Kluyveromyces lactis: one gene and its partners. The protein of the gene in region 4 purifies or fractionates together with the protein of the main gene of each other region. This does not show direct contact. Links are inferred from orthologs where the notes say so. Each region holds a gene or a part of one and is shown on either strand. Other genes may lie near its edges.

Evidence for each region.
Region 1: the proteins of PCF11 (region 4) and CFT2 purify together in Saccharomyces cerevisiae (affinity purification with mass spectrometry; 4 studies listed by BioGRID, with this or other methods). This does not show direct contact. The link is inferred for Kluyveromyces lactis from reciprocal best matches to the Saccharomyces cerevisiae genes PCF11 and CFT2.
Region 2: the proteins of PCF11 (region 4) and YRA1 purify together in Saccharomyces cerevisiae (affinity purification with western blotting; 3 studies listed by BioGRID). This does not show direct contact. The link is inferred for Kluyveromyces lactis from reciprocal best matches to the Saccharomyces cerevisiae genes PCF11 and YRA1.
Region 3: the proteins of PCF11 (region 4) and PAP1 purify together in Saccharomyces cerevisiae (affinity purification with mass spectrometry; 3 studies listed by BioGRID, with this or other methods). This does not show direct contact. The link is inferred for Kluyveromyces lactis from reciprocal best matches to the Saccharomyces cerevisiae genes PCF11 and PAP1.
Region 5: the proteins of PCF11 (region 4) and YSH1 purify together in Saccharomyces cerevisiae (affinity purification with mass spectrometry; 4 studies listed by BioGRID, with this or other methods). This does not show direct contact. The link is inferred for Kluyveromyces lactis from reciprocal best matches to the Saccharomyces cerevisiae genes PCF11 and YSH1.

What each region holds. Positions count from the first base shown.
Region 1 is NC_006041.1:1,061,519-1,067,896, forward strand, and holds CFT2 (cleavage polyadenylation factor subunit CFT2), read right to left. Parts: upstream 4,017-6,378; coding exon 1,578-4,016; downstream 1-1,577. Other genes in the region: serine/threonine protein kinase SAT4, read right to left, coding at 1-374; KLLA0_E12035g (uncharacterized protein), read left to right, coding at 4,653-6,260. UniProt on the Saccharomyces cerevisiae protein: RNA-binding component of the cleavage and polyadenylation factor (CPF) complex, which plays a key role in polyadenylation-dependent pre-mRNA 3'-end formation and cooperates with cleavage factors including the CFIA complex and NAB4/CFIB.
Region 2 is NC_006041.1:254,157-260,177, forward strand, and holds YRA1 (RNA-binding protein YRA1), read left to right. Parts: upstream 1-2,802; coding exon 2,803-3,057; intron 3,058-4,293; coding exon 4,294-4,707; downstream 4,708-6,021. Other genes in the region: AFI1 (Afi1p), read right to left, coding at 1-1,961; COI1 (Coi1p), read right to left, coding at 5,140-5,463. UniProt on the Saccharomyces cerevisiae protein: RNA-binding RNA annealing protein. May have a role in pre-mRNA metabolism. Component the TREX complex, which operates in coupling transcription elongation to mRNA export.
Region 3 is NC_006038.1:1,160,907-1,166,558, forward strand, and holds PAP1 (polynucleotide adenylyltransferase PAP1), read right to left. Parts: upstream 3,033-5,652; coding exon 1,236-3,032; downstream 1-1,235. Other genes in the region: dynamin-like GTPase VPS1, read left to right, coding at 4,837-5,652. UniProt on the Saccharomyces cerevisiae protein: Polymerase component of the cleavage and polyadenylation factor (CPF) complex, which plays a key role in polyadenylation-dependent pre-mRNA 3'-end formation and cooperates with cleavage factors including the CFIA complex and NAB4/CFIB.
Region 4 is NC_006042.1:1,242,782-1,248,408, forward strand, and holds PCF11 (Pcf11p), read right to left. Parts: upstream 3,399-5,627; coding exon 1,635-3,398; downstream 1-1,634. Other genes in the region: KLLA0_F13420g (chromatin-silencing protein SIR4), read left to right, coding at 1-1,364; GGC1 (Ggc1p), read left to right, coding at 3,865-4,767; MTC2 (Mtc2p), read right to left, coding at 4,852-5,627. UniProt on the Saccharomyces cerevisiae protein: Component of the cleavage factor IA (CFIA) complex, which is involved in the endonucleolytic cleavage during polyadenylation-dependent pre-mRNA 3'-end formation and cooperates with cleavage factor NAB4/CFIB and the cleavage and polyadenylation factor (CPF) complex.
Region 5 is NC_006039.1:417,856-424,208, reverse strand, and holds YSH1 (cleavage polyadenylation factor subunit YSH1), read left to right. Parts: upstream 1-2,323; coding exon 2,324-4,618; downstream 4,619-6,353. Other genes in the region: KLLA0_C04620g (uncharacterized protein), read left to right, coding at 1-1,504; DBP9 (ATP-dependent DNA/RNA helicase), read left to right, coding at 5,208-6,353. UniProt on the Saccharomyces cerevisiae protein: Component of the cleavage and polyadenylation factor (CPF) complex, which plays a key role in polyadenylation-dependent pre-mRNA 3'-end formation and cooperates with cleavage factors including the CFIA complex and NAB4/CFIB. Has endonuclease activity.

The DNA of each region.
Region 1 (6,378 bases), on a different chromosome or scaffold from region 4:
AGGGAAGAAGATGACGAAGACGAAGGTGGTGAAGGCGGGGAAGCCGTGGTACCCGTTCCGGAACCTGCAGAAGTCGCCTGTGGGACCTGACTAGTACTAGTATTGACAGAAACATTGTGTCTCGGAAGATCTTCATCAGGAGAAACTTTGGACACACCAAAGAGTTTACCAATCTTAGAGCTAAACGTGCCCTTTCTTGATCTTGTTCTCAGCACAGAAGCCTGCTGCTGCTGCTGCTGCTGCTGCTGCTGTAAATGGCCTGCCTTTGGCAGGCCATCAACTGGATCTGATGGATTCCTGGGTATGGAAGCAGTAACTGCGGCGGCAGGTGCTGGCGCAGCTGCCAGCTGTGATGGCAGCGTATCAATGCTCATCACCCAAAAGCAATAAAAAAAAAAGATGCAATAATTTGTATTTGTTTCGGAGCGGCTGGAAAATAGCCAAAAAAGATTGGATAAAAAACCGGCGGTAGCTTTAGAAACTGTAAGTTCTATTCAAATGCAATAAATTGATAATGTGTATGTATTTTGTTGTGCTGCTTGTGTTTTTTTTGAGCGAAGAGATGTGTAACGGTGTAAAATTTATTGCTCAAAATACAAAACTTGTATGAAGTAAAGCAAATTACAACTGAAATTTAACCAAATAAATAAGTAAATGAAATAAACAAAAAAATAAAGAAAATATGCAACTCTCAAGCGAATTAACAAGCGAGCGCTCTTTTCGAAGGGGAAAAACTTTAAACAAAAAAAACTTCTCAGAGACTTCTCAGAGGAAAAAAGAATCTTTAAGCGGGAATTCCAGAAAAATTGCAACAGGTGAGAAATAGGAAAGGAAAAAAAAACAACAGATAGCAAAAGGGGAAAAAAATTAAACGACCCCGGAGAGGATTGAACTCTCGATCTTGCGATTAACAGTCGCACGCCTTAACCAGCTTGGCCACGGAGTCGTATTTGTGGAATATCGGGATTTTCTGAGTTTCATATTCGGGCTACCTGTTGTGGTATATGACTGTACATGTCACGTGGCTTAGATCTTGTCAGATCTTTATTAGAAGAATTCATCTTGATTAGCTATCTATCTCCTAGTAGAATTAGATGCACCTGGTGTCTGTAGATCTGATCCCTACTAATTAGTAGATTAGATCTGAGTACTGGTTTATATACTTTGCTATGTGTCAGTGACACAAAACTATCATTAACCGCCTATTATATTGGTATCACCCGGTCATGCATTATGACTAGTTCCAACGAAATCAGTGTTCTGCAACCGTTGAGCGAACCTGTAGTGCAAAGTTTTTCTATTTCTCAAGTACAGATCCGCGATAGTTTAATGGTTAGAATTCGCGCTTGTCGCGTGCGAGATCGGGGTTCAATTCCCCGTCGCGGAGTATATTTTTTGCCCTCTAACCCCCCCAGATAAAGAATGCCAGACCTAGAATAGATGTTTGAATCCCGACATACATACCCCATTGGTCAGCTCTACAACTGATCTATAAATGCTTTACTACAATGCTAAATTACTATAATTAATTAATATCTAAGTCGATGTCACGTTTATAGAAAGCTTCCGCGAACAATTTAAACGTTGGCTAGCATGTCTGACACTGCCGATTTGACCTTGTAAAATACGTCCGATGGTGAACCATCAACTATGGTTTCGGCATCATTAATCTTCCGAACCAAAACTTTGCCATCAATCACTAGTGTACCTTCACCTTGGAACTCAGCTTTATGATTTTCCGCAGTTAGTCTTCTTTTCAATTCCGGTAGTCTAACATCTCCGATTCTTAGAGAACTTCCAGAATGTAAAGCTAACGGGTTGCTTAACGGTTTCAATATAACCTTCTCCCGATGTGGGGCTTTTGGGTCAGTTTCTGTCAATAGTTTACCAACAACGTGTGCCACAGTGAAAGATTTACTGATTCTTTGCCAGTTTAGAAGTTGGTCGAGCGATGGATCGATAGAAATATCAATTGCCTTGACAGATGTATCCATCTCAACCGAATTATTGAACTCAGTCACCAATATGTCAATATTTCTCTTTGTTAGATTAACCACGACTTGGTTATCAACAGGAGCAGCTGATGGCAGCACAATGACTTTTCTTGGTTTGATTGCAGGCCAGATGATTGCTATCGACCGCGCATTAACTATGCTTGTCAAGTCGATATATACCAAAGAACAACGAATGTTAACTTTTGTTTCCACAATTGCTCGTTTATAAATGTCACTTTTCAATGGGTCCAAGTAAGAAATATCATCATTATTTTCTTGTTTCCTAGGATTATGATCTGTTTTTCTTTTCTTTGATTTATTAATCCGCGAATCAAGTACCTCATATGTATCATCGTCATCGTCTTCATCATAATCGTTATTACTATAAGATTGCTTTAAAGATTGTGCTTGGTCATATGATTCTTCCTGTGGTAAGAATCTCTTTAAGTTGACCACATCACCGTAATCGTCAGATTTAAGCTTTGCTGGATGGAATGGGAACATAAGGTGCTTTTCATTTGTGGAAACACTATCATTGGAAGTAATATCTACGGGAATCTCCACTTTAACGTTTCCCGATCCATTCTTGCCTCTTGCATCCATTGAATCCACACCTTCTTCGTCGCTACTCTCATCATCAACATCAAAAAGTATTGTTTTTGTTTGAGCTTTGTCATTGGTCTTAGCCGTATATTCTTCGATAATTTTCTCTCTTACCTCATTTCTAGTTTTAATCATTTCTCTCACCTTCTCCGCATCCTTCTTGTTTAAAATTGTTCTCTTCATGATTCGAAGTGACATCGAATCAGATATGCTAATGGGGTTGCCATCCAATGCACTTCTACTCCCATTCTTTATTGCTTGTTGCCATTTATCATTAAGTTTTCGTAAGGGATGTTGTGCTGGGGTATTTGGATGTCTCTCTGTCAATATGATCGTTACTTTATCTTTAGAGCAAAGTTTGTTTATCGTTTGTGACAAAATATCATCAACTTCGGAAACAAGACAGATCTTTTGCCCAGTGTAACCTCCCAATTCCTCAGGAGTAATAATCCTCAATCTAGATACAACATCGAATGGAGACCGATTGTCTCGAGATTCCCAGGTCTTGATTACTTGCGAGGACAACCATTCTAACATAGATTTAGCATATGTGAGAGAACGGCCCCTTGAATAAGATATTAGAAACACCGGAATATCATACTTCAATCCACCCCTCATATTTTCATATAAGAAATTGTTAACTAGGACTAGTACTTCCAATAGTTTCCCTCCTACTTCAACTGGTACCAGTAAAGAGTTATTCATTTGTATAGCTCTTTTCATGGTATCAGTGAAATGTTCTACTCTTTTCCTCTGAGGTTCAGCTGAGCCTATAATAGAAAGGTTGGTTATTACAGAAGTCGGATGCATCATGGAACTGGTTGGATTTCCAGTATTGTCTAATAGGTCCGCACTATTCAAGATAGTATCTCTTGTATGGTTCCAACGAGGCGCATACAATATTTTTTCTGATGAAGTGATTATCGTCCAAATGGTACCACCGGGAGCATACCCTGAGTTATGTGCTTCTAATGAGAGCCCATCGAATTTATTCTTTAAATCCACCGTTTGAGAGTATTTCACCGTTTCAATCAAGTCAAAGGAGCTTTCAATATCTTCTAGGTCCATGACGGCATTAGAAAACGGTCCTAATATCCCAACTGAAGTTAAAAGGTCAACACTGTTGACTCTGCCTAGATTTGATACAGGTAACGTCCCATAAACTTGAATTCTCGACCTAAAATGAGGCAAAAACTGTTTAAACATCATGGCATAGGACCCAAGGCATTCAATTGTGGGCTGGGAAATCAGAACAATGTCAACTTCAGATATGTACTGCGTCCAAAACTCTTCACATTCTTCATAACTGCCTTCACCGTTCCATCCTGGGTCCAATAATACTATTACATTGTTGAATCGTACAATGGTTCCCTCAAACCGCTTCTTCTCATCCCTACATGTTTCGATGGTGTATGTCATCTTGAGAGCACAGTTACTTCTATATTTGAAAAACAATGAGAATCCACTGGTTGGAATGGGAAAGGAAAAGGTGTCCTCAGTGCCGGCAATCTCTTCTTCTTCTTCCTTTATCCTTCATTCTTCAATTATTTGCATGTACTGTTTAAATGAACTTAATGTTGATGCCTTGAGTATCATTTTGACATGTTATGTCCGGGTAATGAGATATAATGTCAGTAAGAAGGATTAAGAGGCCAAACTGAGACAGGGAAGTTGTTATTGGACGAGATACTGCTGCAATCTGTAGGTTGGTACGGTCCAGTAGGTGGAATATCAAACATATTTCATTGCTTACAATTATAGGCAACAAAATCCACAATTTTATCGGTACTTTAAGTGTCAAAATGTATTCCGAACGTTCTTTGAGGTTGAGTCAGCATATTAAAGAATAAAGCGACAGATTACGGAACAGATTGCTCAACTGACCCAAACACTGGAAGAAGTCTAAAGGCATCTTGGATATACCAGCGTACTTGAAATCAGTTGAATTATAAGGACCTAGTTTACAACGTGCAAGATAAGCTGCATTAGTTGACACTTTTGACAGATTTGCTAATGATAAGAAGGAGGAGAAGAAGATTTAAGGGTACAAAAGTAATGAGTCTTCCGATCGAAATTATTGATCGTGTAGTAACTAGCGGACTAGACAGTCTAGAGAGTCTGTTAGCATGGAGTAAGGTTGGTTCACATTTTAGAACAATTATAAAGCGCAAGCTTGGTGTATTGAAGATTTGGGATTTGGATAGGGAATCATCAAAAACCTTAGCAGATCCTTGCAATTATGAGTTGTTATCTGATGAGAGAAACACCGCTTGCGTAAATACAGATACGTTCAAGTTTCCTGTGTTGAGCGAATTTCTACGGAAGTTTGACAACGTTCTCATTGTCATCGTATCCGATCGCTGCTACAGTGACCCATTGGCGACGGCATTATGTGAATTAAGTAGAGGGCTAAGTGGGATGGGTACTCTAAAGAATCTATGCTTCATGTATAAGACGACTACCAATTTCCTTTCCAAGTTCTATTTCAGAGAGCTAAGCCATTGTCAAAGCCAACTACGATTATGTGAATTACATATATTCGCCAACCGAGATATTAATCACCAGGAAGTTGACATGTTTGATATCGACACGATATTTGAGACTACTTATTTACATGACGTGGAAACGCTGTTCACTTTGAACATAAGAAGGGGTAAGAAAGTGATTGCACCTAGGATTATGACAGTGAATCAATTGCAATGTGAGGATAACACTACAATAGTCGATGATCTACAATACTGTCCCCTGCTTAAAACGATTGAAAAATTCCAAGTGCCACCAGGAAAGAGAGTTGTATTACCACCATGCGACCATTTAACTCTCGTCAGTTACAATAGTAACACTGAAAGGGATCTTGTTGATGGATCCTTCGTGAGAGAATCTTTGACAATCAGGGCATCCCCAATGTGTTCAGAAGCCAATTTCAAGAACATCAAATGCCGCAACATTCGATCCCTATGTGTCGAATTTAGTAACAGTGTCTGGGGTAACGTCAAGTTCATCGATTGTGCTTTTGGGAACCTAAGGTCTTACAGGTGTCCAGTGAATACAGAATGGGAAGATTTGGTTTATTCAAACTCAATTTACGTTGATACAATCATATTCAAAATCTCAAACATGCTGTCACTACAGAACCTCGCACAGATCCCATTCACGTTGGACAACCTCGTCTTGAATTCAGACGACAAGGAATTGAAACCACCAGAATGTAAGCCGGATCAAATGAGAAGCATATACGGTTGTAAACAGGTAATCCAAGAATTGAAAAGGTTGGAATTCGAACTTTCAAGCATCTGGGACTGCGCCGTATTTCAACATGTGATCATTCCAAATCTCACAAATGATTCTGAATTGTGCCTTACGATAAACGAAAGTCACATAGCAAGAGAGCTAGAGAAGGCTCGTGAATGGGACAGATCTTTGTATCTGCTCGAAAGTTTACAACTAGATTGGAATCGTAATAAGATACGGTTCTGTATCCCTAAATTGAAAGCATTCCAATTATCTATTATAAGAGAAAGAATGGACGAAACAAGAGAACGAGTATTTCAATTGCCCGTTGGTACAATGTCGCTACTGCATCCATTACTTTCTACAAATGGTGCCAACTACGTTAACCTGTCCGAGCATGATGTTATCGAATTCATAGATACTAATGCATAAAAATCAGAGCCTACGTAGTATTTTCTAATGAATTTGTATATATCTGTATATGATTGAATGATTTAGCCGAGTATCCCTATAATGAAACCTCGCATACTATTTCTGGAAGCACCTTAGG
Region 2 (6,021 bases), on a different chromosome or scaffold from region 4:
GACTTCATATTTGACCGTTCATGAGATAACAACTTCTCGAGATCAACGTCTCGCAGATTAGCGCCCATTATATCAAGGCCATCAAAAGCAGAAACCAAGGGGTAGTTCATCGCAATATTGAGGAACTTTCCTAGATTCTTCTTGTTCATTGAAATGAATTTGTGGAGTTCTTTCAAATGTTTGTACAAATCCTGAAGCAAACGTTTTCTTGTTTGGTAAGTGTAGTTTGAAGTAGGCCAAAACAATCTCGACATATCAGTTTCCAAGTTGTGTATAAGATTGAGAACTTTCAGGGAGTTGTATTCGAAAATATCAGGAAAGAGTATTAGATCTTTATAATTCAAAATATACTGGTCCTTCAACACCATTTCCACTCCATTAGCTTTATCACCGTCACCGTCTATTAGATGGAGTAATTGAAGGATACTCGCACGCTTGAAGGTATTTAGTACAGTTTCGTTGTCGTGCTGTCCTTTGACAAGAAGGTTTATGACTTTCAACATTAAACCACTTTTAGGGGTCGGCTGTTTAGTTGCTGGAAGTGGATGCACCTGAGAGGTGGTATATTTGTTAAACATTGATCTAATCCCCAGATTTTTCTCTGCATTTTCTTCTTCTGATGGTAGCGCCTTCGAGTTAAGTAAGGAGTCACTATCCAAGTCATAGTAAAAGTCCCATGCATCAACTTGGTATTGGAAAATAGGGTTTGATACACCTACTACACTGAAAAAATTCCCTTTCGTGAACTCCTCCGTGAAGTTTTCTCTGAACATATCGATTATTGATATTTCCATGTATGGAAAAATGCAAATAGAGGAATTATCAAAATACTCCGAAGAAAACCCGTTTATGAGATTGGATAGGGCGAGTACAAATTGGCATAATTCATCCTTGGAACGCTCTGTGGAGTTAATAATTAATCTCCAAGAATATGTGGAATCGGGAATTTCAGTTAAGAGAGGAATTAATCTCGCAAGTAATTTCAAAATTGAATTATTATAATTCGTATCTATTTTTATGGCATCATATTTTATTAGATCAATTTGCAAAGGAATCCTCGTAAAATAAGCAGGTAGAACTTTGGGACGGAAAGTAGAGAACTTATATTCAAGAATCCTGTTTTTAAATTGAATCTCATTTCCGAACTTGTCTTTTTTGGGCAGCTCATTAACCCTAAGTATATTGGGCAAAGAGTTTTCGTTTGCATCAAATATTTTGGATGTAATTTCTTCGTCATTGATAGAGTTTAGAATATTTTGTAGTACAACATTGGAATGGAATCTTATGACCAAAGAGAGATCAAGACTGTTAATCATGTCAAAACAGTCTATAAGTATTTTAATATCGTTGTTATTCGATGTCATGTAGTGATCAAGCACCATTGTTAACAATGGTTTAAATGTGTAAAAGTTTGTCATAGTAGTACCCAGTGCAATGGCTTTTATATAAGCACCGCGATCATTTGAATTATCTAAAAACGTGTTCACGACACTTAAGAAAAATAATGGTGGCTCAGTTTCCTCTAAATGCCTATCATCTCTAATTGATCCAATCTTACCACTTCGCAGTCCATTTTCTTGTTCTTCTTCAAAGTCTTCCTCTTCAATTATCAGTGAGGAATCCAAGTCAGTACCTTTAGTCTTATTTTTGGATACAGGAAACAACTGGTAAACGTTTTGATTCTTGTATAAGACAAAAACAGTGAAATCTGGTTTACCTGGATGGTTCTCCACACTATTCGGTATCATCAAACTGGCCAAATGAGAACAAGTGGAATCACTCCCAATAGTTTTAAAACCAGGGATTGTCTTTGGATATTGATGCTTTATTATCGGCCCAGATTTGTTATCAAATTCTGCCGCTATTATAAATTGAACATTGGGGTTAGAGTGTGTGTGTTCATTTTGAGATTGTCGTAGGTGAAAGTTCAATCCTGTTTTTACCTTGGAAGAGTGTTTCATAACTGGTGAACGCGCGGTCTTTCCTCTTTAATTACAGAGTCAGTCCGTTTACCACCTGACCGTCGTTCGGAGATTTAACTTGCCAGTGAGACGTCTGTATCATTTCGCTGTAAAATAGCACGATTTTGACCCATCATCGTCTTTCTTTTTGAACCGATCAAATAAAATGAACCAAATAATATCGCTAACAGTGAAATAATCATGAAATTACCCGGACTGTAAATGGATTCAATTCGGCTTCTATTCGCTTATGACAGGAAGGCATAGAAGAATGTTTGGATACTAAGCGTTGTAAGATTCCCGCCACAGCCTACTTGGGTCTATCTGCGGAAGCGATCCATTTGAACATAAGATTGATCGAATAGCTGTCTATCTTATATATCAACGGATTTTACTTTTCAGTTGTTGCGGCCTTACAATTCACGAAATAAAGCTAAACGATGTTTGTTGGAAACAAATGAGTCCCCTCGACGAAATTATGGAGCATTATCTTTAGTCTTTGAAATGACTGTTATTCACAAAAATCTTTATCATGTCAGGAATGAAGTAAGTACACCGTTACATATGCAGCAGATCTTAGAAAATGACAATCGTTACCCTCTTTTGTTGATCGTGCTGGTTTTGATTTTCTTGAAAAGAATTGGACAAAAAGTTTGATATTTGATTTTTTTTGTATAAAAGGAGCCATAGATTTTTGCCCATTGGAATTTTTTTCCCTTTTTCCATGAAAGTTGTTCTTCAAATTTCTCTTTGTTTCTACTTCATAAGGCAAGCAACTTTATAAGTTATTTCCTTCGAATCAGCTACCCATCAGATTCTTTTTTTTACACTCTCATAAGCAATGTCTGCTCTAGATCAATCATTAGATGAAATTATTGGCTCAGCCAAGCATGCCAGAAGAAACAACAAGGCCGGGCCAAAGAAGGTTTCTAAGCAAGTCAACAAGAGCCGTACCAGAACAGGTGCCGGTCCTTCTAGAGTTCCAAAGAAGGCTGCTTCTGCTGCTGCCCTAGTGCCAGCTTTGCTAAGAGCTCCTATTTCTACTAGAGTTAATGTCGAGGGTTTGCCAAGAGACATTAACCAAGACGCTGTTAAAGTATGTCCCATTTTAGCCATGGCCTCTTAGTAGGTTCTTTTCTAATGAAAAGGACTGTCGAGATGCTACTGTACTGATTGCGAAAACAAATCGGATCAAACTGCAATAAGACTTGCGGTTAATTTAAGTTTACAACGGATATATCCTGTGGAATTCCATCCTTATGTTTACTATACGATCATACATTCCCGTGTATTTGATTAAGAAGAAACGGTCGATCGATACCTTTTTTGAGGTCTGATATTGATGTGTGAATAATTTATTTCAGAGTTAGTTTTTATTGAGCTAATGAAATATAACAAAACGAAATTAGCTATCCAATTGGCTGGGTTTCGCTTTTCAGCAAGCCTTCCTTTGTGATTTCTTTCCGTTTTTCTCCTCTAAGTTGACAGAACTTTTCATCAAAATTATGCACTGAACTTCGTTTATTTACGACATTTTATTTGATGGAGAAACGGTAGTGAATCACGATTGGGAAATGCCGAAAAGATGAAGTATATCTATTTTTTCTCGTCATATCTTCTATTCTTGTGACATTATGTGTCACTGGAGTTTCTGTTACCATTTATTACATTTGGCAATGCATCTATTTTTTAATGATGCCCAGTGTATTATTCTCTTTTTTCTAACTCTTTGCAAAGAACTGGGAATTTGAAGAAGATTACTTGGTGTACACCTTGTAGGAACAATTAAGTTTGACCTCTTCCTTGGTGTGTGTTTAGCTTGATGCCTCAATCTTCAAGATAGTGCGACATTTTTAGCAAGGTCGTCGTGTTTGACAACTTCAAAAAAATTGGCAAAAATTGAAACGCCACTGAAAAGCAAGTTTCAATGAATGTAATAAATCGAGATGGGTATGCTGGATTTGAAATCGATTTTCATTTGTCATTCTGCTATGAACATGTTCTATCTTGTCTGGTTGAGATCTCATCACTGACTCCAGATTTACTCTCCAAGAAAAAAAATAGAAAAGAGAAAAGTTATAGTATACTTACTTTTTGTTGGTTGTCATGTTAGATCCTACCTTCAAATCGAAACCTAATGAAACCCATTTGTGGTATATTTTACTGTTTAAGAGTTAACTTCATATCGTGACAGAATTGACCGGGTCGTACATGTATGATGAATTGTAAACATGAATGATTTCCTACAGGACTATTCATTGAAGACTCCGCTGTTTTCAGTTATCTATGAATAGTTTCACTAACAAAAATTTTGCTCCCTTATTATTACTAGGAATTTTTCAACCATCAAGTCGGTGGTGTCCAAAAAGCTTTGTTGAGTTACAACGAAAGGGGTAACTCCACTGGTATGGCCACTATTACCTTTAAGAACGCAGAACAAGCTAACTTAGCTGTAAAGAAATTCCACAACGCACCAATTGATGGTGGTAAATCCAAATTGAGATTGACGTTGATTGTCGATCCAAGCAGAAAGACATTATTGGACAGAATCCGCCCTGTACAGAATGCTCAGGCTGCCGCGCCAAACAAGAAGGCAGCTCCAACAAAGCCTCAACCTAAGAAGAAACCAGCCGGTCCAAACAAGAAAGCCATTGCTGCTAAGCAAAAGAAAAGAGCTAAGCCAGAAAAGAAGTCTTTGGAAGACTTAGACAAGGAAATGGCTGACTATTTTGAAGAATCCAAATAAGATATTGCGTTCTTGAAATTACTGGACTGAGAAATTATAAAGTCTTCCTTAATAACGAACGGATTGTCTCTGCTTTCGAATCTATTCGTTAGACATCCTAGAAGTTCAGTTCATTTGTTGTTTGTTTTATATTCCTCAATTTCAACCGGTGTGACTGCGTGGTTTCTCAATCAAAAAAATCCGTATCTTTCTTATGTGCTCGGCCTATCTTTTCTTACCTAGCTAAACTTTATTATAATATTGATATCAATAGTTTGTATTTTATTTCACTTTCTTTAAGCACTATTTACATGAGGAATCTTTCAGTAAAGAACAGGATATATTTCTAGATTGTTTCATTTAGTCATTGCAGTGTTTGTGTGTGTTGTTAATAAATAAGTGTGATGGGTAGGTTCGTGTATTGCCTTGCAGAATTAAAATCTTGCTTATTAATCATTCGTTACTTCTTCTATCCAAGAACCCTAATCTATCACCACGCTTTCTTGTATTGTAGGATAAACCGGCCCCTTCAAATTCACTTTTCCTTTTTATTTCCGTGGTTTCTTCTTCTTTCTTCATGGGGAACCCTGGTTTCACCAGAGCAGGGTTTGCGTAATAAGAATCTGCATCTTTCTTCTCATCCCCACTCAAATTCTGCGGGTCGAACTTGGAAACTTTAGCATCACGTACAACGGTCTTGACGATAACTATAGAAGCAGTAAGACCAATACACAAATACGCAAAGTTTCTACCAATATTTTGGAATGGGTTAGACATTTTTATTGAAAAGATTGTATCTACCAAGTTTGCTCTCTGATGCTAAATGCTAGAAACCAAAAGCCAAATAAAAATAAAAACTCAAAGTTGGTATATGGTTCGTCACTCAATCCGAATAGTTCCTTCTTCCGTTCAGGATCTATTTTTTTATCAACACGCTCTATGATGCTGTTCTCAATCTGTTTTTTATTTAACTGATTCCTCTACTACTTTCGCTCAGTATCTCTGATTCCTGCTCATATTTGAATTCAAATCTTTATTTTCCTTAGATTTCTTTCGCTGAGGAAAGGTTCGCCGTAACCCATTGCGGAAATAAAGAAAGAAAGAAAAAAAATGTTGACCTCATGGTGATTTCACCTTATTCCACACACCATTATCATACAGATTGTAATAACGTTAAGCAACTACCTGTTCATTTATTTATTTGTGCCTAGATATTGACCGAGTTCGAGAAGCTGCAACCTGCAACCTGCAACCTGCAAGAGAAGAGACTAGTATCTTCGGATTGGACGAATTAAGTAGACAAGAAAAATAGACCGTCTCTCAGCATGAATACTC
Region 3 (5,652 bases), on a different chromosome or scaffold from region 4:
CCGATTTGAGAATAACGAAAGCCAAGAAAAGAAAAAAATCTAGATATCAACTATTGGTATCGTATTTATACAATGAAGTGGCCAACTGGCGTTGTCCAAATGACAGATATCGATACATAATCAAAAAACCACACACAACCTTGGGATCAAAAGCTATTAGTAACCACAGTGTGAATTTGAATATTCATAGTTTTACACAGTTTATGTCTTCTACAAGCTCATTGTAAAAACCAAACTACTAAGTAAAGTCTTTAATGTGCTAAAACTAATTATATCAAGTAGTAGCATGCCACAGCTTCCTCTCATCAAGAGAACCAAAAACAAGAAAGAACGAAACAAGGCTTATAACTGAGAAGTGCCATTCAAATAGAGCCCTTCTGTAGCCCAAAACCGAATTAGCTCGATGGCACAATAATTAATACAAAGAAACAAGGGTACAAAGAGGAAAAACGAAATAATTGCGTCAAAAGAAAGCAAAATCCAAGTGCTGGGCGAAATGAAAGAAAGTAGCCTTTCGAAAATGGCCCTTAAATGGCTTCTTGAACCTCTTTGACAGATAAAAACCCTTCACAAGACACTTGTTACCTAAGTTACCTTCAAATTTCAACTTCTTGTTTCTTTTCCTTCACTCCCATTACTCGATCTCTTTCTGTCACGTTGCTTCTTTCTTTTACTGAAAAGTGTGGCTTTCTTTCATCACTATGGGTGTATTTGTAAGTTAAACTTGAAATAGGAACTTGCCTGTTGAATCAACAGCGGCTGAACCAGATGATACTGTTCGGGTATCGGTAACGTCTTGTTTTCTCGGATTTTATCAGTGTCTAACTGGCTAACCTTCTATCTCTTGTGGTTTTCCTTTGACTCTTTTTGTCCGCATCTGTCAATTATGTATCAAGATAAGGCACATAGCTGACTAAAAATAAGTACCAGTTAAACATATTTGATGATAGAACAAAAATATTCAGATTAGAGATGGTAGGTTTATGCAAAACAATGGGGTATGTGGCGGACAGCTTCACTATTATAGTAATGATCTGTTCTTTTCTGTGATATGAGACGTTTTTTTTTTTTTACTTAGTTTATCTAGTGGGAAAGTTGAGTTTATGTGTCGCGTTCAATGTAGAGAAACTTTTGTTAATGACTGGGGCTAAGGCTTGAGGGGAGACTCACGTTGCCTTGGCCATGATGCATTATGCGAACCCTGAAGAGGTAGTATGAACGGATCGTAAGACTTTCTATGTTGTCGCAGTCATTGGGTCTTCGGTGATAGCATTGGTATTACTGTTTGCTGGGACATTTGATGATGGAGTGGAATTAGCGTCATTTACTGGGGAAGAAGAATTGGTGTTGCCACTGGTAGTAGTAGTAGACTTGCCATTGGACGGATCGGATTTAGGTCTTTTACTCTTTTCACCACTTTTCTCCGGTTTCCTCTTCTTGCTGGATTTCACAGGACGTGTTTCCCCCTCTTGGTAGACTTCATCCGGTAAGTCATGCACTTTCACATACTTGATGATTAAAGAATACGTTTCAGGGTCCTCATAGTCGGGTAATGAGCGACACAAATTGAAAAATTCTTGACATGGAATGTGTATATCAATTTTTTTACTCTCTTCTGTGTTGATGTCAAGTCCAATAAACATCGTGGCTATGTGAACTTGATTAGAGTTTTTGGAGGCTTCATCGTCTTTGTTTGCATCAGTTATTTTTGTAAACTTTTTCAATACACCTTCTGTCTTATGTGTACCGTAGTTGTTCATGATCTCTTTATATTCATCCTCATTATTGTATATATAGCTGGACTCGTATGGTTCAATAAATGGATGCGCCAGATTGATTCCTGGTAAAACTTCTAGTTTTTGGACCAACAATCTGAGCTTACTTTCAACGAATCCACTCCATTTCAAGTGTTGTTCGTCGGAACCCTTTGTTGAGACCATAACCGTTAGGTAGAATTTATACTTGAAGAAGAAATCGTGTTTCTTGAACAAATCTTCCCATGATAGTTCATTAGAGAAAATCTTTTGTGTGACCTCTACACCTCTTTGTAATTCAGATAAGATCACTTTCTTAGTTGACTCACTGATGTTGTGGGTAGCACACATTGAAGGGTACGCTGGTGTAATCACAGGCATCTTGTGGGATCTATCCTGTGCATATATTTTGGGGTTCCACACGCGGACCTGTAAAGGACCATCTTCGATTGGCTTCAATAGGACAGGTTGTGGCCATTTCCAACGTGATAAAATCTGAAAGAATTTTGATATTATTACCGCACTGCATGCATTAGGGTACAATTGGCAGATTCTTACCACAAACATCGCCCATGCGACACCACCGGGGAACCCAAAGACGTTTGCATATACTGCTCTTCTCTTTGCCCATATCTTAATAGCTCTTAATGCAATCTTGAAAGATGTTTTATTAGGCACTAATTCTAAAATTTCATCGGTGACTCTGGTACCGTTCAACGCTCTTAGATCCTTTTCATCAACGTTCCTTAACAAATTCTTATCACTTAAAGTTAAACTTATTGGAACCTGGGGTAAATCTAGTTTAGCAAAGATTAAATCGATGGAGATTCCATTGAATTTGATCTTGATAATTGGGACGAAAGCATCTGGAACTGACGCAATTTCTTCAAGTTCTGGTCTTTCCCTCAACAGAGCATCGAATACGGTAAAGAAATCTTCTCTGGATACATGTTTAGGTACCACAATCAACGTATCAATATCGGAACCTGGACCATGGACCCCTAATCTATAAGAACCAAAGGTAAATACTTTACCACCAGCATCACGAGCCATACCATCGGACATGTTTTTCTTCTTTGAAACCTGATATACAAACTCTTGTGTCAATTTTTGGAAGATTTCTAATACTGCCACTCTCTTCCCAGTTTCTTCCTCCGTTTCGAAAGAGCCTTCTTTCTTAAGCTGTTGAATTAATGAATCGTTTAATGCGTTTTCGGCAGCAGTGGGACCCTCCGTGGAAATCGGGCCCGTTACACCAAAGATCTTTTTCTGGGACATTGTATTGGGATAATATTTGTTTCTGTAATCTGGTATATTTCTATTCCTTGCTCTATCCAGATAATCACTTCCCCCGGTATTTAAAAGGCTGTCCGCGGATTGTCTTCTTGGAATGTAGTTCTGAAACTTCTTTGAGATTGGAGACGATGTTGGTGAGTTAGCCGGTGAATAATAAACGTAATGTAGCCCTGGCTGATTGAAATATTGTTGCTGATGCTGCTGTCTTTGATTATAATGGTGGTGATGTTGCAAATGATGCTGATATGTGTTTCGGCTTGTATTGAGATTTAAATGCCGGTTTCTTTGTCTGGAGGGAGATGATCCTACACTATCAGATTCTGAACTTTTTCCCCCTTCCTCTTCTTCTTCTATTAGCCCTACTGCACCTAGTACTACCTCAGAAGTGATATCACAACCGGAAACCTTGAGCCCTGCAAGATCCGAGCTTATTGAATTCAACTGGTCGCCAATCACCGTCCTTGAATTATCGTAAGTGTCCTTGAAAACCTGTGCGTCTTGTACTGAAGTCGACAACCTGAATGAGTTTTGACTTGCTACGTCTTCCTAGATCAGAAAGAACCGTCAAAAGTACTCCTCACAAGTTAATTCGTGATGAGGATAATCAAATAAGTGTCGGATGTGTATAATCTCCGAGAGTTAATACACCAAAGTTCCAATGCAAAGGCTTTTTTCAGTATTTGTGAGTCTGACACTAACTTCTTTTGTTGTTGTTGTTGTTGGTAACAGGTGACCAATATCAAAAGATGTGCTCGTCACTAATTTGAACTAAAAACGTAACTAGCACAAACTATCCAGTTATATTCAGATAGAGAGAGACTGTGTGTATATGTGTGTAGACAAAAAAATCAGCCAGTTAATATTGTATTGTCTGAGAATTCCGTTTCCCTTTATTTCTTTCCTTTACCAATTCTGTCTCAGGAGTGTCCAGCGAATGAAAGAATTAAGAAGTTCAATTTGAAGGTACTGGCAAGTTTGGACCAAAGGGATATGTAGTGTTGGTTTTAACTTTAGCTTCTCCTGTTCACACACTCAAACCAAATAAAAGGTATAGTAAGTTCAAAAGTTCACACTTTGTTATATTATTTCATTTTGTACTAAATTTTTAAAGCCAGAAAAATTCAAAATCGATTTCAAGACCCAGGAAAAATCAATAATTACGTGAAAGACCCCAATCATAAGAATGAGCGAGCTTGAATTTGCAAATTGTATGTTCAATTTCCTGTAAATCTTATCCAACAATAATTCAATTGGAAGTATATGCATATATATAAACGAAAATCCAGATATGGAAGAATCAAGATATTTGATGATTACAAAACCTTTGTATTTCGTGTGTAGATCTGTAACGGCATCCGAAAAAAACAAGAAAACTATCCCATTGACAGTGAAAGTCGGCCTTTATATGGGCCCTTGTAGTTCGTTTGGAAACTCTTCTCCCCGTTAATTTGAATAAGAGGCTACTGGCTAAATAGGCTCACTGACTGTGCTATCTATTGGATACGATCTGGATCCAGTTAGATTGGCAGATCTAACCATTTCCGGGTAATACTTGGTTTTTTCTAACTTTTGGTGGCGAAAAAGGGGAAAAACAAGAAAAACATCAAATCAAAATCAATTCTAGTCAACTCGAGAGAGATATTCCAAATATCTAGAGAGATTTATTTTTATATATACCTTTACTACATCCAAAGTTAATCGGTTAGGTCAGAGATATATTTTGAATTCTCAATTTGTAATTGTAATTGAGATCAAGCCCAATACTGTGAGTAAATAAACTGGCAACATGGATGAACGTTTGATTGCTACGATCAATAAGTTACAGGATGCTTTGGCTCCATTAGGCGGCGGTTCTCAGACTCCGATTGATTTACCACAAATTACCGTTGTTGGTTCTCAAAGTTCTGGTAAATCTTCTGTGTTGGAAAACATTGTCGGTAGAGATTTCTTGCCTCGTGGTACCGGTATTGTTACCAGAAGACCATTGATCTTACAATTGATCAACCGTAGGGTCAAGAAGGAGACTAAGCATGCTACAGAAGAGCTGTTAGATTTGGATAACAGTGCAGCCAATGGTGGTCAAAATGAAGACAATGCAGAAGAATGGGGTGAGTTTGGTCATTTGCCCGGTAAAAAGCTTTTCAACTTTAACGAAATTAGAAAAGAGATCGTTTTGGAGACCGATAAGAGTACCGGGAAGAATGCAGGGATTTCTGCGGTTCCAATCACTTTAAGAGTATATTCGCCACATGTGCTAACTTTAACCTTGGTCGATTTGCCCGGTTTGACCAAGGTCCCTGTTGGTGATCAACCAGCTGATATCGAAAGACAAATCAAGGATATGATCTTGACTTACATCAAGAAACCTAACGCTATTATCTTGGCAGTGAACCCAGCTAATGCTGATTTGGCTAACAGTGATGGTTTGAAATTGGCCAGGGAAGTCGATCCCGATGGATCAAGAACCATCGGTGTGTTAACTAAAGTCGATTTGATGGATGAAGGTACAGATGTCATCGATATTTTGGCCGGAAGAGTTATCCCATTGAAATTTGGTTATATCCCAGTAATCAATAGAGGTCAAAAAGATATCGAAAAGAAT
Region 4 (5,627 bases):
ACCACCAACTTCGCGAAAAACTAGAGGAACTTGAGAAGATCCAAGCAAAATTAGTCCAAGAACTTGATACTGTACTTCTAGAATCTAAAGGGTCCTTTTCGGCAGGAACTGCCAAGGAGGCTGAAGTGAACAATAAAGATAAAACTGAATCGATAAATAATGAGCAGGCTCGAGAAAAGTCACTAACAGCTGCTCATGGAAAGCTAATTAGTAAGGTAGAAAAAGACCTTGTAGAAATAGAGGCGTTGAACAAAAATGTAACAGAGCGTTTGTTTGAGATCAAACGGATTAAAGATAGGGAAGTAGAGAATCATCCTATAATAAAGCAGCTCAGAGACACACTTGAAGGTGAAAGAGCTCACTTTGAATCACAGTTGGCACTTGAAAAGCAAAAGGTGTCAAATTTAAAGGCTGCTTTACTGAGCAGACATGGAAAAAATGATATCAATGAAGAAGTTAAGCCGGCAGCTCCTTTGGACGGAAAGAAACTTGAAGAACTTCAAGCAGAACTGTCTAGCACTAGGTTATATGCACGGGCTCAACATAATGCTGCAAAACATCTCCAGACAGAATGCTCTACTTATCGAAATCTATTATCAGAAAAGAAACATAAGTATAATGAGTTGAATTCTAAAGTTGCACTAGCTTCAAAACAGTGCGCACAATTGCGCAGCACGAATGCACATCTTCGTAATAAACTCCAGAGTTTAGAAGACGTGGTTTCAAAAATATCATCTAATACAAAATCAAAATTGAAACCGTCAAGCTATGACAGCCAAAACACACAGCGTAGTATTTCTGGTGGCTCAGAAGTGCAGCAATCATCATTGACTCCTGCGCAGTATGAACAAAATGCCCCAAAAAAGCTACCAAAATCTAACGGGGCGATCACATATATTGATGAGAATGAAATTTTAACTAAAGACATTCTAAACGACGAAGTAAGGAAACTGAATATGACAGTATTAGATCTACAGCGCAGAATCAAAACGCTAACAAAACTTGAAACGAATGTAGGCCCTTTGAGTGTATTTTGTGAAAAAGAAAAGTTATCAATACGTGATGTAGTGGACCGTCTTCACTGGATTAAGAGATTAGAGTCAACTATTGCAAAGATGGCTAATGAAAAAGCGGACATGACAGCTAAAGTCAAGGATCTTGAAACAGCGTTGAGTCAGTCTAAAGAAAAAGTGGACCGTTACGAAGAATATTCGTCAAAATCCCAGAAAGTCGATAAACCTCGGCCTAACGGGGAGGATCCCGTCGCACTCAAAGAAACCATCGTTCGGTTACTGAAGGAACGCAAGAAACTTACCGCTATTTTGAAGAACCAAGCTGAGTCGAAGGAACGTGATCCGAATTAAAGCGTGTCGAGATAAAGAATTCCCGTAAGAAGAAAAACAAAATCCAAAGCACTTCTATGCAATAGATAGCCGTAATGAAATAGCATATGTTTTCTATAATGCAGTTGTAACATTTAGGAAGTATATATATATATAAATACCATATAGCACTATATTATATTCGTACTTCCATTTAGAACGAAATTTGTAGAAGAAAATGGTACGAAATTCATGCCGATAAGCCAACTAGAGTTCGAATATACAATTGATCAGCACTAGCTATTCATCAACTCATTGAAGCAGCTCGTTAAAAATACCAAGATCTAATTGAAGATTTTGGAATGATGGAGATGAGGAGGTGTTTGACTGTTGACTTTTAGCTGCCTCATAATAACAAGTGGCATGGAAGAATTTGTCTCCCACCTGTACGCAGTTGCTCCAAATCCATTCTCCCAGATCTTCATCATATTTACCATATGTGGATTCGGTACAAATAGGACACTGGAACTTCATATCTGTGGCATAATCCGGTACTACAATATATTTATTCCTGAGTTTAGTATAGATTGCATCAGTAGAATCTTCCCTGTTGTTCGCAAATGTAGGTTGCTGTTCAGCAGCTCCAGTATCAATATCTGTTGCAATGATGTCTTCTTCTTTAAAGTCTGCCCATTGATTTTCATCCAAATACCAATTCCTGGATTGAATGACCTTGGTAGATGTAGTGGTGTTGGACTGGATACCTTTAATCTTCTTGTTGACACGGAAATGCCAATCAAGATGTTGTATTTCCAACTCCTTTTCTTCAAGAGTATTACCAAATCTCTTACCACATATACTACATTTATTAGGTTTTGCCCGATATAAGAAATGTACCAACTTTTCCGTAATTGGATGGTTATCATTAAGAACAAACTGTTGAGAAAGCTGAAGGACAGATGCGTTCAAAATATCTAGGTTTTGCGTCTGGCGTTGCGCCTCTAGATCACCTAGAATATCCTGTAAAAGTGAATATGACGGTAGTTGCACTGTCTTGGAGGAATCAAATTCAGGTTCTAATTTGGCAGCTAAGGTAGTAATAGATGCTTCTCCAGGTTCATGCAAGAGCTCTTTTTCTCTCAACATGTTAACCAAACTAGAAAGCTTATTGAGACGGTTAGAGTTGGTCAGTTGGTTCAAAAATGGAGCATTAAATTGAAGGCTTCCTCCGAACATCGAGCCGTTGTTACCGTTCGCCTGGAGTGAGCCACGAGACATATCATTGTTTACAGAACCTTGAGATGATGGCGGCAGAAACTGAGAGTTATTTTGTAATGGCAACTGCTGCTGCTGCTGTTGTTGTTGTTGCTGTTGATGTTCTTGCGCAAAAATCTGTTTGAGCTGCTGATGAACTTGCGACAAAAACTCCGGTGCCAACCGTTCCTTCTGCAACTCTTGTCTCAACTGCTTCAATATCGCTACTTTTGCCTGCAACTTGGCGTCATCCGGTGTACTTACTAGCTTCGACTGCGTAATCAGCGCTAATTTATCAATATCCGACAGTAACGATTTCACAGTAATATTCGACCCAGCCGGTCCGTTGTGAGCGGTATGTTGTTGTATCGCCGGCGGAGTAGCACTTTTCTGATGCAACGCACTAGCCTTAATCAAAAAATTCTCGATGCTGTTCAAAGAACTATGATCGAACATCAAGTCTCCTGCAGGCAATGGCACCATCCACGTTTTGAACATTGAAATCATCTTGGTTCTAGTCTGATTATCCACAAGTAAATAAGTTTTACGGAACAATTTATGCAAATTCTTAGAGAAATAGATCGTATACGGAGAACCAGCGTTCTTACAGATAGAATCCATTACATAGAAAGTGAAAAGCTTCTGACTAGGAACACATTTCTCCAGTCTATTTTCAATCAAACCCACAAACTCTTGTGCTAAACTCATATGTTCCTCTGCTAACTGCGTCAAGGTAGTAATTATAGGCCGAGAGTTAAACGTAAGACCATCCAAAGTGGTCTTAAACTCCTCTAACGCATTAGAACCATCTTCAGAACTCATAGAGAAATCCCAACAAAACTCGGAAAAAAGTGTACCAAAATATAGCAAACAATTACTATTACCACAAACTAAGCCTCTGGATACTAGTAAGCGCTCAAATAATGAATCATACGGCCTCTATTCCTTGCCTCTGCTCATCGTCTTTAAAGGTTTCCTTATCCTAATCCTGCATCTTGTAACGTTTTGCTCGGTTGAAAGAAAAACCGAAAACATCACCAGATCCGGGTAACGAAACCACACTTTTTTCTTTTAAAAAAAACCTTTCGAGATATCGATCAAAGATTCTTTCAAGAATGAATCATCACTGTTTTTATCTATCTTGCCTTTACGTGCATCTGGCTCCTTTCTTTCTCGTGCGAAACTTTCAACAACGTTTATTAAGAGTAGAAGCAGGAATCTCACTAGGTGAAAAGGGTCTTTCTTTTAATTTCTTATCCATTTGAACTAAGAAGAGCTGGAAAAAAAGATGACTACCAACGATAAGAAACAATCGGGTTTGGCCCGTGTCTTAGGTTCAGCTTCTGCTGGTATCTTGGAAATTGGTGTTTTCCATCCTGTGGACACTATTTCCAAGAGATTGATGTCAAACCATACCAAGATTGCCTCGACCTCTCAATTGAACAGTGTTATTTTCCGTGACTTTGCATCTGAACCATTGGGTAGACGTTTGTTGTCTTTGTTCCCTGGTTTGGGGTACGCTGCTGCCTATAAGATCTTGCAACGTGTTTACAAGTACGGTGGTCAACCATTTGCCAATGAGTTTTTGAACAAGAACTTCAAGGGTGATTTCGATCAAGCTTTTGGTGAAAAGACCGGTAAAGCCTTGAGATCTGCTACTGCCGGTTCTTTGATCGGTATCGGTGAAATTGTGCTATTGCCATTGGATGTCTTGAAGATCAAGAGACAAACTAACCCAGAGTCTTTCAAGGGTAGAGGTTTCCTAAAGATCATCAAGGATGAAGGGTTTGGTTTGTACCGTGGTTGGGGTTGGACCGCTGCCAGAAACGCTCCAGGTTCTTTCGCTTTATTCGGTGGTAACGCCTTCGCCAAGGAATATATCTTGGGTTTGAAGGATTACGGTCAAGCTACTTGGAGTCAGAACTTCGTCTCTTCGATTGTTGGTGCTTCTGCTTCATTAATTGTCAGTGCACCATTGGATGTTATCAAGACCAGAATTCAAAATAGAAACTTTGATAACCCAGAGAGTGGTTTCAAAATTATCAAGAACACTTTGAAGAACGAAGGTTTCACTGCATTCTTCAAGGGTTTGACTCCTAAGCTACTGACCACCGGTCCAAAGTTAGTGTTCTCCTTCGCTCTGGCTCAAACTTTGATTCCAATCTTTGATAACTTGGTCTCTAAGAAATAAACCTTGGATTCAAATACAAATTCATGTAAATAATGTTATTAATTGCTACTATTCAATTCTTTTTTTCTATATGTATAAGTCTCTTCAAGTCGCTGGAATGATATCCTTCATCACGCTTTGAACTATGCAAAGCTGTTTGAACAAAGGATTCTTGTATTCTTGAGCCATCTTAATGGCAAACGTATCAAACCTGTTGATAAGTTCGTCAACCAGTTCTTCCTGAGACCCGTACATGACACTAGGGTCCTCTTTCGAGGATTCTATCAACTGAAGATGCCAGGGAAAATATCGTTCACATGCAGTTTGAACCATATCGGGAGTAATGAACGAGGATCCAGACGTCAAAGCGATCCATTTACAAAGCAAAGTCATATCACTGAGTGACCTAGAATGTGCTCCTCCACCCTGGCTAGGTTTACTAAGCCTATGCATCCTAAGGTGAACTATTAGGTCTAATATGTACCTTCTTATCGAATGGTGCATATATACAGAGTCCACTATGGATTCTGCGACCACGGAATCCTGCCATTGACCCATATCTTCACCACATGCGAACCAGAATTGATGCCTTAGATAAGGGATCATAAGTGGATTATCTTGTAACACTAGTATAACAGGAACAGTGGATTTGTGCAACCACAGAGCAAACCTATTTTGCAACTCATAATCGATTTCAGCAGTACCACTATACGGTACTAGATAACATGAAATGCCATTCTGCGTTTCAGTATCCGGTAAGCTATCAATACTGCATGATTGTGGGGACGGTACGGCAGGGTTATCCATGTGAGATAGCAGATCGGATATGGACTTTAAACCTTGATCATTAGAAGTTCCAGTGAAACAAACCACATGTCTTT
Region 5 (6,353 bases), on a different chromosome or scaffold from region 4:
TGATGAAAGAAGAAGGAAGTTAGGTGATGTTTCCAAACATACTAGACCTCTTGTCAGCGCACTACTATTTTCTACGATGGATGATCTAAGGGCTTGTTCTGTGTGTTTGTATGTAATGGCTGAAAGATCAAAATTTGCAATCATTTTCAGGGATACGTTCGACCAATTGATGAACGCAACCATAGGTAACTTAATCGAACGTTGTGGCCCAGATTCCTCGGAACTAATTTACGTCACCAGTTCTAAAAAGGGCGAGACTACTCCTACTCTAATATCCATTCCAGATAGGAATGCTGACAATGATGAAACTTCGAAAGATATAGATAGAAAGGGGATGCCACCAGCAATGAAGAGAACGTTTGGAGAGTTGCAAGTATCTGCTCATGCTGGGTTTGTCGAAAATAGTCAAATTGATCTGGAAGAGCAAAGAGAAAGAAAGCGTAAACAAGGTGTACTTCAAAAGACTTCTGTTCCAAAATCTTTATCACATTTGCTTGTTAAGGTAGAGGATGAAGATGATGGAATCGATGACAGCAAAATAACGACTTCGAAAGCCTCATTAGCTCATAGCCCCGATGAGTTAAGCAAAGTCGACACTCGTTCCACTTCTGAGATGGTAACACCACCAGAACAAGTCACTGCCAGGAACAAATACATTGTCAAGAAGCCTGCCAATGTCACAGAATCCGACTGGGAAATATTCCAGCAGCAAGCATTTTTGCAACAACATCAAGCGCAGCAAAATTTACAGGCCTACCTTTCTTCATTAAATGGTGCTTTCGAGAATAACAATGCGCAAATGATGCAATCTGCCAATGGGATGGGGTCTCATGTGAATAATAGGACAGCAACTACTCTGCCCCCTCAACAAAATCAAAATTCATTAAATCCCATCACTCAGAATCATCCTTCACTGTTTAGTGGTGGTGCTGATAATAAAGCATCCGTAACTTCATCTGACATGTCTTCCCCAACCGGCTGGCAACACGGAAATGCAGACATTTTCCAAAAAAAGCAACCAGCCAACTTTGTAAAGTCTCCTAACACACCGTTGCACCCAATATCATTCTCCGTCGGTCCTTCACCCAGGCCGAACGATAATGGTATAATCTTCAATAATGGTACCCATACGATGATCAACAACATCTCCACATGGACCAACGACTCGGTTTTGGATTTGATGAACAGTAATCATTACGTAGATCCACTGAATGGAGGCAACAATATGGGCAACCTAAACGGATCTTTACAATCATCAGCGACAACAAATGATCAAAAGACTTTTGTCATGCCCAATCGAGACAACAATCCTGGCACTCTGAATAACTCCCTGAATTGGAGAAACTCTTCATTTACCAACATGAATATGAACTTCAATCAACCAGATAATCAGCAAGGTCAAAGACCACCGCAACAGCAACAACAACAGCAATTGGAAGCTATGTTGTCAGTTCCCGTTGAAGAATTTTGGACCGTTAACGACGATTATGGATTCCTCACTTGAAGCCTTCAATTCAAACGTTGAACACCTCTACAGAGGATATTCCCCGTAATTAAAGAAAAAAATACAACCATTTTTCATACTAAGTGTTAATGTCTTATGTTTCCGTCATTCCACAACATTTCGTTTTCATTCTACTCTTTCCTTTTAATTCAAAGAGTATTCACTCGTTTTTAGTTGTAATATATATCTAGCAAAAAAATTTGTGTTTACATACATTCTGCAGTTTAATTCGTTTCATTCCATTTTACCAACACACTTGCAGTAATTTAGCCAGATGTGACCTGATCCAAGTAAATAAATCTAGTCACGTGACCTATCCTGTTCCCTTTACCCTTTGTTTCATTCTGATATATTGTCGATCAGAAATTCTACATATTATTATTTCAACATCTACATAGTAAGGGAAAACAATCAGTTTAAGATAGGTGTTAGAACCCGACAAGCAGCAAGATTCTCACTAGAAACAGTACGTAACGACATTTGTTATCAAGATGTGTTCTCAAATCATCTTAGGTTGCCTTCAGCCCTCTCTTTACTAACTTTTCGTTATCAATATCTACCTCTACTCCCTCTGTACACCAATATGCTATTTCCTAGTTTCTCACTTTTTTCTCACTTTTTTCTGTAAGACATTAAAACCAGTTAACGTTTATTGAAAATCTTAGCAATTCAACATAAAGAAGAGTGTCCTGTCCAATGGTTACCGAGCAACCTCTGTTGGTATTCGGGCACTCATAACAGATATCGGGGGGCTCAAGCAGACAGTAACTTTTGACGTGTTTGTGAGAGCATTTTGTCTGTCCTTTGCATTGTCAAGAAATGACTCAATTGGAAAATGAGGTTCCAGACAAGGACCATCTTCGCTTTTTCTCACTAGGAGGATCCAATGAAGTGGGGAGATCGTGTCATATACTTCAGTATAAGGGCAAGACTCTAATGTTAGATGCAGGTATCCATCCGGCCCATCAAGGTTTAGCTTCATTGCCCTATTACGATGAATTCGATCTCTCCACAATCGATCTTCTTTTAATCTCACATTTTCATCTTGACCACGCGGCATCATTGCCTTATGTGATGCAACGAACGAATTTTCGTGGTAGAGTATTCATGACACATCCGACCAAAGCTATATATCGTTGGCTTTTGAATGATTTCGTCAAGGTGACCAGCATAGGAGACAGTCCAGGACAGGATTCAAGTAATGATAATTTATACTCTGATGAGGACTTGGCTGAGTCCTTTGATAGGATAGAAACTATTGACTATCATTCCACTATGGAGGTAAATGGTATTAAATTTACAGCGTTCCATGCAGGTCATGTTCTTGGAGCAGCGATGTTTCAAATTGAAATCGCTGGTGTTCGTGTATTATTTACTGGTGATTATTCAAGAGAAGTGGACCGTCACCTTAACTCTGCTGAGGTACCACCTCAGTCTTCGGACGTCATAATTGTGGAAAGTACATTTGGTACCGCTACTCACGAACCAAGACAAAACAGGGAAAGAAAGTTGACCCAGTTAATACATACCGTGGTATCTAAGGGAGGACGTGTTCTTTTACCGGTGTTTGCCCTTGGAAGAGCTCAAGAAATCATGCTTATATTAGACGAATATTGGCAGAATCACAAAGAAGAACTCGGAAACGGGCAAGTACCTATCTTTTACGCATCAAATCTTGCTAAGAAATGTATGAGTGTCTTTCAGACATATGTTAATATGATGAATGACGATATTCGTAAAAAATTCAAAGATTCTCAAACAAATCCATTCATCTTCAAGAATATTTCTTACCTCAAGAATTTGGATGAATTCGAGGATTTTGGTCCCAGTGTCATGTTAGCATCCCCAGGTATGTTGCAAAACGGTCTATCTAGAGACATTTTAGAAAAATGGTGTCCAGAAGAAAAAAATCTGGTTCTTGTCACTGGTTATTCTGTAGAAGGTACAATGGCAAAATATTTGTTACTAGAACCTGAGGCTATTCCCTCGGTACACAACCCTGAGATAACTATCCCAAGACGTTGCCAAGTGGATGAAATAACATTCGCTGCTCATGTTGACTTTAGGGAAAATTTAGAATTTATCGAGCTAATTGGAGCTAGCAACATCATTTTAGTTCATGGCGAATCCAACCCAATGGGTCGTTTAAAATCAGCCCTTCTTTCTAATTTCAGCTCTCTCAAGGATACTGAAAACGAGGTTCATGTTTTCAATCCTAGAAATTGTGTCTTTGTTGATATTGAGTTCAAGGATGTTAAGGTTGCCAGGGCAGTTGGGAAAATTATTGAAGATCTCGATGAGTTTATAACTGAAGAAGACGCACTAAAGAATGAGAAAAGAATCACGGAAATCCATGAAGAGGATCCAGAAACAGAGGAAAGTAAAACGGAAATTGTCAAAGAAGAAAATGAGAAAATAGTTTCAGGTATATTGGTGTCAGATGAGAAGAATTTTGATCTAAGTTTAGTTTCGCTTTCAGATTTAAGAGAACATTATCAACAATTATCTACTACAGTTTTGACAGAAAGACAGACAGTCCACTTGGACTGTAAAAGCGAACTAGTATATTGGCATATCTGCCAAATGTTTGGTGACGTAGATGTATACATTGACGAAGAAAACGTCTCATTGAAGAACATCAATCCCGAATTCAAGACGAGGAAGATAAAGAAGGGTGAACTAGAAATAAAAATCATGGGAGATGTAATATTAAATATAGTTGACAATGTAGCTACATTGCAATGGACTCAGAATGTTATCAGTGATTCAGTCGCGGATAGTGTCATGGCAATTCTACTGAGTGTCGAGAGCGCTCCAGCAAGTATCAAAATGAGTTCGAAGTCATGTGGACATCATCATGGACACGATGATCACACGACTAAAATTAAGAACATATCGAGAGTTTTCAAGGAACAGTTTGGTGATACTTTTACATTATTTTTGAATGAGGAAGACTCCAAAGAAGAAATAAAAGGCACTATCAACTTAGGAAAAACAACAGCATGTATAAACTTCTCAAAAATGGTTGTGGAAGAATGTAACTCTAATCCATTGAAAGGTAGAATAGAGAGTTTATTAAAAATTGGCTCCGACTTGGTGGCCCCATTGTGTTAATCTGTCTCATATATAGATATGATTATATATGAGCTAGTCATTAATCATCTTTTTGCATTAACTATATACTTTTCAACCCTATACTGCCATCTTGCCAAGGTGTTCCTCTGTACTAAATAATCTATTAAAACTTTAAAGATGCATTCAAGTTTCAATTAACTGAATGAACATATCGTTTTCGACAAGTTACAAAAGACACCAAGAGGACAAAAAACCATTTACTAAACTACTAAACGCGATATATATATATATATTCTCATTATAACAGTAAATTTTAAATCAATCTACCAATACCATGGCAAAATCAGAGCTACAGTGAGGTATTTCATTCACATTGCCAATCCAGAAGAGACAAGATAACTCAATCACGTGACTCATAAATCCTTTTGCCTGTGTAGTTTCTTTTTGCACCTCAAGAAAATTTTTGGGAAGCTCATCTCATCTCATCCAGAGTCTGAACGTACAAGAGCTGTAAAACAGGCTAAATGGGTCTCAACTATCAGCAGCATTAACCTTTTGATCGAAACTTACAACCGAGGTTATAGTTAAAGTGTTCGACGAGAGCTAGAGTCCAGAAAAACGCTTCAATATGGCTCAAACAAGCGCTTCCCAGGGATACATTGATGATTCTTCTTCTTTCGATTCGTTCCACTTGGATTCACGTTTATCACAAGCCATCCGCAGTATCGGCTTCAAACACCCTACTTTGATCCAATCCAGTGCGATACCATTAGCTCTTCAAGAGAAAAGGGATATCATAGCGAAAGCTAGTACCGGCTCTGGTAAAACTTTAGCATATTTGATACCAGTGATTCAAACAATTTTAGATCATAAGAAGGCAGATCAGAATGATGAAGGTGCCACTCTAGGGGTAATATTGGTCCCAACTAGAGAATTGGCTCAGCAAGTTTTAGAAGTTGTTGAAAAGCTCATTGTTTTCTGTTCTCAAGAAATTAAATGCTTAAATCTTTCATCGGGTAATGTATCGGGAAACTTATTGAAATCTTTACTTACCGAAAATCCAGAAATATTGATAGCTACGCCGGCCAAGTTAGTAGATTTACTAGATGCGCAAGATGTTAATATTGACAGGTTGAAGTTCTTGGTTATCGATGAAGTTGATTTGGTGTTAACTTTCGGATACCAAGAGGACCTTACGAAGATTTCAGAACGCTTACCATTGAGAAAGAGTTTACAAACTTTCTTGATGAGTGCCACTCTAAATGACGATATCCAACACTTGAAGCAGCAATTCTGCCGTTCACCAGCGATTTTGAAACTTAATGACGACGAAGTCAACAAAGATCAAACAAAGCTTATTCAATATTATGTGAAGGTTGGAGAATTTGATAAGTTCCTATTGTGTTATGTGATTTTCAAACTGGGACTAATTAAGGGTAAGACATTAATCTTCGTTAACAATATCGATAGAGGATACAGACTAAAGCTAGTTTTAGAACAGTTTGGTATTAAATCTTGCATTTTGAACAGTGAACTGCCAGCAAATTCAAGACAGCATATCGTAGAAGAATTCAACAAGAACGTTTATCAACTGTTAATAGCTACAGACGATACTGAATATATCAAAGAAGAAGACGAAGACTTAGAATCAGAAAAAACTGAGGATGGTTTAGTTGAGGTTGTCGATGATTCCACTGTTACTACGAAAGACAATGCAAAGAAACAAAAGAAGCCAAAGCTAAACGTGGAGAAAGACAAAGAATATGGTGTATCT